Linked DNA regions of Rattus norvegicus. The protein of the gene in region 2 purifies or fractionates together with the protein of the main gene of each other region. This does not show direct contact. Links are inferred from orthologs where the notes say so. Each region holds a gene or a part of one and is shown on either strand. Other genes may lie near its edges. The genes, in order: Tdrd3 and Fmr1.

Region 1 (3,496 bases), on a different chromosome or scaffold from region 2:
TCCTGGGAACTAACATGCAGATGCCTAACTCAAATTCCATGTAATTTACACTTCAGGAACACAATCCAAATATAAATGAACGGATTTTAAAATTATATTTTTGGAAGTGATAGCAGAAATGCCTAGAGTATTTCTCACCATCCTATATAATTTTTGAGAAAAAAATAGTACTTGACCATACATAACTTTATATTTATATTTATGGAAAGTCATAGAGCTGACTACCAAATATGCTCTTCTTATTGGATATTTAAATTAATAGAAACATAAGGGAAGTGAAAAGGAAAGTTTTCAATTTTGTGACAAGAACAGAAGTTTCTGCACCTCACTTCTGAACATCCCATTAAGACCGTTTGGCAGGAGTATTTCATTACATTACATGGGCTTTGATGATGTATTTCTGAGTTACAATGCCAAGTCTTCCTAGCCAACATTGCATGTCTTGCTCACTTTACTTTTATGTAAACTTTACAGCAAAGTTGTTTTTACAATGATACAGAATACGATTACCAACAATCTAAATTTTCAGTGTCACCTTTCTTCCCTGAAAACAGTCCAAGCCAAGCAAGCATCTGGACCATGAGGAAGACTGACTTATTAATATTACTTCATGGCAGAACACAGAACTCAGGGCCTGCCACATGCTAAGTATGCAAGCTCTACCAGAGCTGTACCCCAGCATCCAAGATGAAAGCTTTAACTTAGGGGGCATGAAAAGTAAGACTATGACACTTAAGTTGATTAGGAAATGTTTGCATTGTATGATTTGATATGGTTAGGCCAAAATTACCCTCAGGGCTATGGTGTATAATGTATTTTTAAGCAGTGTACTTTTTCAAAGAAAAATTTCCATGGAACCTAAACATACAAAATACATGAAAGACACTCCTGGGAGGCTGGGAGGACTTAGCCCTCCCCACTGGGTGCGTGCTAGCTTTCCACTGCTTCCAGCCATCCAACCCTCTCCATCAACCCAAACAGCAGAGCCAGAGAGCTCACATCCCGCTCAGAACCTTTAGTTTCATTAAAAACTGTTTTAAGTGATGTAAAAATCCCCAGAAAGTAGGAAAAAGATCTCTATTTTCATTTACTTTAAAGTGTCATTTAATTGTAAGCACAAGGAACTTATTTTAAGAGTATACACTCAATCTTCTGCAGTGTATAAGCTCCTTAAATCCTTGTATATACTTTGATTCTGCTTTTTAAAAAAGACCATGAGAACTGGTTCCTGTATGCTACAGAAAAATGCCCAGAGTTATGCAGCAGCTCCTCTTTGATCTGCGTCTGGGTCAGAACTGTTTGCTTGATAGCCTTGTTCTGAGCGCAAAGAGGAGGTGGTGATAAAAGGGAAAGAGCTACACTGGCTGGCTCTGAGGGTCAGAAGTCAATTAGCATTAGGCTTTTGCTTAAGGCTGACTGAGATATGAAGTTAAATGTCAGGAAAGTTCTGCGTTTCTATTAGAATACTGTAAATAGTTTCAGACATAAGTAAGTTTTGGGAGCCGAAGGACACATGGCTCAGGAACACTGCATTCATCTGAAGTTCGGGAAATGTGAATAGTTTAAATGTTGGTCACAGTTCAATATGTTTAAAACATTATTTAACTTAGATCAACATTAAATTATTGAGATAATTTCCTTTTCCCCCCTCTTTGATTTTTTTTTCCTTCCACCCATATCACACCTCAATTAACACTCTGACTTCAAGGATTCCATAGCCACTGCTGGCTACTGGTCAGGAGAAAAGAGAACCTGATTAAAAACCTTGGCAGAACTAAGTGTAAAATGAGGAACTGAGGAGTTCCTAGAAATTTCTCATTCTTGCTACTGAAGACAGAAAAATATAGTTAAGTCCAGAATAGTCTATAGGACAATAAATACCTGATAGAAAATTCATTTTCAATTCTCCAAAAGTAGCAGAATGGACTGAAAACAGTAAGAAGACAAGCTGTTTGCCAAATGTGAAAGTATTTTCTTCTAGAAACATATTAGAAAATAAGGTCTTTGTCAAGCATGTGATGTCTGAGACAGTTTCCTAAATCTCCTTCCTGCTCCTTCTCCCTAGTAAAGATAATTTTTAGACAGCTGTTCTTTCTGAAAGAGGTATGAATGCTTCTAGATAAGCAAACAGCCTCCAACTGAGTAAGAGGCATGTTGTCTTTCTGACCTCTTCCTTAAATAAGCTCAACTAGATGAAACCATACAAGAGCACTCAGAAACGAGGCATGCTCTCACATATCTGTGGGTTCTAGTTCTCGATCTTCAGATGTGAGTATTCAATTAGATTAACTGCAAAACCCAGAAAAGAGAGAAGGGATGGGAAGAGCATTAGAGAGAGAGAGAGAGAGAGAGAGAGAGAGAGAGAGAGAGAGAGAGAGAGATTCAGAGAGAGGGAGGGAGTACACAGGGGGAGCTGGAGTCAGGGGTAGATACTGCATTCATTTATGAAATTCTCAAAAAAATATAATAAAACTATGAGAGAGAGAGAGAGAGAGAGAGAGAGAGAGAGAGAGAGAGAGAGAGAACGAACACAAAATACGTACAGTGGTTTGGACCAGAATGTTTGCTCATGTTTGCTTGGTCCACAGTTAGTAGGAACTGTTTGGAAAGGATTAAGAGGCGTGGCCTTGTTGGAATGAGTACAGGTTTGTTGAGGAAGGTGAGTCATATGGGTGGACTTTGAGGTCCATTTTCCATCTCTGACTGTATCTTATGGAGCAGGTGTGAATTGTCAGCTACTGCTCCATCCCCATGACTGCAGGCTGTCATACTCCCTGCCACAATGGTCACAGACTAAAAGCCTCTGAAGCAAGGTCCCACTTAAATGTTTCATTTATGCAATGCCTTGGTCATGGTGTTTCTTTACAACAGAGCAGTAACTAACATAGCAGAAGTGGAGCAATAGATTTCTAGAAGGATTTGTGGGGAAAGGCTAGTGGAAAAGTGGCAAATCACACTGTCACTTGAAAGCTGAATCACAAAATCGGCTTTTTCTATGTGCATTATTATGAAACATCAGTAGCTGAACTTGTATTGAACACAAAGTACATCTTTTTTATATGAAAACTATCTGGCAATGTCGCCTTACCTTTCACATTAGTTCCGAGCTCGAGGAGGCTGGTAAAACTGCTGTGTTGGCCGAGTGGACCTTCGAGGCTGTCCGTCACCCCCTCTCCGGAACTCAATGGTGTGATCATAGGTACCCTCTTCTTCCTATTTGCAAGAATAATGATTTAGTATCTTCAAAGTAGCTCCCACTTTCCTAAGTTAAACATGGTTTATAGTCTTCATGTTAATATACCTTCTGAAGCTGTCAACAGAGAGAGGCAGGGGTAAGGAGTAAAGACAGAGATCTTAAAGGAAACGATTTCCAAATAACAGTACGACTATCACATCAAGTGATGAAACGTAAGGAGCACAGAGAAAGTCAAATATAATTTTCTTGATTATTTCTTCTGAATATATTTCAGGTGTTTATTACAGAAAGGAGTCTTGG
Region 2 (3,832 bases):
TTATTTCTGCTCTACTCTTCTTCAAATGAAATGTAAGTACATACAAAAAAAACCTACCTGAAGTCTTCCCAATTTTTTTTTCTGTAAAATCCATACATCCTCATGACAGTTGATTTTAATAAAGGTGTAAATTAGCATAAAGAAAAGTAGGATTTTGGTATGCTTCTATTAAGATAGTATCTTAACTACCCTAAGTACTTGTGTCATTGTCAAAGTGTAGAAAGAACAAGCAAATTTTTCAGGAAGATAAACTGGTGTACATACTGAAAAAGGCTTGTGATTACTGTTTGGATCAGTCAGTAGGTGAGACTCGAGAACACTCAAGTAACAGTGATTAAGATATCACCCTGAACTCCTTCCTGACAAACCTTACAAAAACTGATTTCTGAACAAGCCCAGTACTCTTAGTGTTGCAGCATGTCTCATCAAGCCAGAGTTCTCTTGTTTTACTAAGTATAAACTAAAGAAAACTCAATTGGACTGATTGACTGCAATGGGCTTTTTTTTTGGTGTAAAGTAACCTTAAACACCCTCTACATTTAATCCAAGTTCTTCTTTGGTAATTTAATCTAATCTTATATATTGCAGTTACTTCCAAATTCCAACAGAACAATTTACTCTAAGTCTGCTGTAATAAAATAAAGAAGTTATGAATAAATGAAAGAGAACATGGAGTTTCCTTCTGTGCCCAGAATTGTGCTAAGTACTACAAATAACAACACCTCATTAAGCAACTAGACCATGAATTACCACATTGATATACATATTAAGTGAAGGGAAAATATTCTTCTCTCAAGAGCTAAATCAGTCACCCAAAGTCACAATGGTACCAAATATGTATAAACATTTTCACCTACTATAGTACCATCAAAATAAATTTTAACGTACATACATGTTTTTGCCACAATTGTCAGTTCATTCTGTGTTATGTATGTACCATCTATACAATGAGTAGTGTGTTGATAACATTACATTCACATTCTTGTGTTGTAGCATACATGTAAATTAGTTTCACTAGCATTTGTACTTATTAATGGTAAAAAAAGAATACCATGACTCTTGGACACATTTTGGAGTGAGGATCTTGCTATGCCTAACCCATGCTATCCTTGAATTTGTGATCTTTGTGCATCTGCCTCTGTTTCCAGAATGCTGGGCTATTGGCTCGTAATTTTAAATGACATGCTGGAAGATATTACAATTCTATTTTGACAAAATATAGCCTATGAATGTTTTAAGCTATATACATAAAATACATAGAAAGTTTGTTCATTTTATTCTTTTATAAGTGAATTAAGAATGTACCCCCAAATCATTTATAAATTCAAAACATATTTTTAAAAGTACACCTGTGCCTGTTTTTAGTTTGTTCTACTAAAGACAACTGAATAATTTGGGAATGTTAATACTATGTCTAAGCAAGTCATATCCAGATCTTGAGTTCAGAGATAACTGACACAAATGCTATTATTTTATCAAATATCACCAAACTATAAGGAAAACATTCAATGCTATGATAAAAAAAAAGTATGGTTTGAGGCTAGGTAAAAATGATCCTTTCAGACATTTATAAGTCTGAGCTAACAAAGTATTTCTTGTATATCTTCTGAAAAACTATAATCTTGGAGTATATATTTTCTATATACTGTAAGAACAGGCTACATTTCCAAGACTGCTTCAATCAGATTACACTTTTCAGTGATGAAAAGAAATTTAGTATAGAAGTTGTGTACTAGAATTTTATTTTTTGTGGTATATATCAATAGTTATTTTTGACTTACCTACTAAATTTCGTGGAACTTGTATGACATCTTCAGCAAATTCCAGAAAGCTTCTAGCCTTTTTGACTGCATCTTGATCCTAATAAAGAAGGGTGAGTGGGTGTAGTATCAAGGCAAAAAAAAATTGGCATTTGAAATACTGTTTATTTGCTTCTCTGAGGGGGCGGCAATTGGATTTTATAGTGAAATATTTACCTCTCCATAAATATGAAATGTGCAGGTATCCTCATCTAAATCAATAGCAGTGACCCCAGGTACTTTTCTAGCTTGCTGAATATTAGCACCATGAGTACCAATAGCTAGACCCATCAGATCTTCTCGTACGATAAACTGTTCATGAAATCTTGAGGCAAGCTGCCTTGAACTCTGAAGAGAAATGCACAAGTGATTAACTTGTTTTACCAATTATTAAGTCAATTTCATTTAGGCCAGCCATGTAAATTATCTTGACCCTATATATCAGGGTCCTATAAATTGTTACAATAGAAAAACTAATTTTAGAATCATACATAAGTTCTTTTGAGGCTACTGAAGGTCTATGCCATTTAAAAGGTTTTATTGTTGTTGTTATTAACAGAAAAGAGCTTATTGACAGTTTTTCAAGGTTATGTTTGTAAACCTATTTGCAAGGCTGCCTTTGTTAATCAATGATATCCACAATGTAATAATTAAGGAGCAGACAAAATATTCCCAATTAAAAATAGCTCACCTGGTCTGACAGACTCAATTTAATTTAAGTAACAAATAAAAATGTATCTTAAATAAAAAAAATATTTACTGCACTTACAATGGATATATAAATACTTTTTCTAGAAATGGTGACATTTTCATAATATGTTACCAGGTATGGTGGATCTAAACATCCTTCTGTTGAAATGTGGCATTAAGACAACACCCCCGTACTCCCCAAACACAAGGAAAAAAAATCCTAAAACTTTGTGGTTTAGCAGTTAAGAGAACAATCCCAGAATATCGAAATCGCAATTTTTCATTACTTATATGTTCAGAGTCTGTAAGACTTTGTGATCTGAATCCATAAAAGCTTGATGAACTCTTTAATATTCAGCAATGACAAAACGAAGTTCCAATGATACCTCACATATGTGGATAATCACTGTCTTTAAGAAGCATATCAAAATTGAATGTTTAGTTCTAGCATGCCATTAATGAAAACTAAACAGATTAGTGGCTCATGTTGAAAAATGGGTATTTTTTATAAGGATTTATGAACCTCTTTAATATTAGTAGTGAAGAAAATAGGCATGCACATATCATTATTCAACACACCAGATAATTTGAATGAATGAATATATCTAATGTAAACAAGTTTAAAAGAATAATAATTGTTTTAAAGGTAATGGTAGTAAGTACACAAAATCTTCTAGGATTTTCCAAGAAGTCACATTTTTAGATCTTGATTCATTACCCTGCTTCCTTCTTCCCATTGCTAATTTATGGATACATGTAAACCAAAGGTATAGCAAAGGATATTCAAGAAGAATTAGATGCTTAAGAAGAGGTATATGAGTTCATAATACTCACAATGAAATTAAGAAGGCTGCTGTGGCCTAAAAGTTATGAGAAAATCACTAAACCACAAAAGTGTGAACATGGGGGACATCAAGAAAGAATGAGATCAAAAACAAATAAACAAACAAACACCAATCAAACAGACCTCAACAGCCATTTGGCATACAAGTAAAATTTTCCTTTTCTGTTAAGAGTTCATCAATCACACAACAAGTTGAAAAGTGGCAATTTTCACAGTCTTGACTACCTTTTTTCTTAAATAGAAATCTGAAACTGCCCCTTTCTTTTGCTATAGCAACTGATGATTTCCCCTAATGAATAAATATGAGGGACTCTTCAAATTGACAGTAACCTACTTGAGTTGGTACATTAAAACAAAACCTATTTAGTTTCTATGGTAATGAATGGAAGTACTAGATAGTTATCAATGAAAGTAAATGCATGGTGATGACAATTATTGGAGAATTAATAAAAGTAGATAAAATGCACCTTAAGAGACGAAATAGTAAGTTAGGGAAATA

What was found.
Region 1: the proteins of Fmr1 (region 2) and Tdrd3 purify together in Homo sapiens (affinity purification with mass spectrometry; 4 studies listed by BioGRID and IntAct, with this or other methods). This does not show direct contact. The link is inferred for Rattus norvegicus from reciprocal best matches to the Homo sapiens genes FMR1 and TDRD3.

The regions. Positions count from the first base shown.
Region 1 is NC_086033.1:69,878,588-69,882,083, reverse strand, and holds part of Tdrd3 (tudor domain-containing protein 3), read right to left. Parts: intron 3,214-3,496; coding exon 3,097-3,213; 3' UTR 3,089-3,096; exon of another isoform or gene 3,088-3,088; intron 1-3,087. UniProt on the Homo sapiens protein: Scaffolding protein that specifically recognizes and binds dimethylarginine-containing proteins. Plays a role in the regulation of translation of target mRNAs by binding Arg/Gly-rich motifs (GAR) in dimethylarginine-containing proteins.
Region 2 is NC_086039.1:152,301,848-152,305,679, reverse strand, and holds part of Fmr1 (fragile X messenger ribonucleoprotein 1), read right to left. Parts: intron 2,148-3,832; coding exon 1,977-2,147; intron 1,861-1,976; coding exon 1,782-1,860; intron 1-1,781.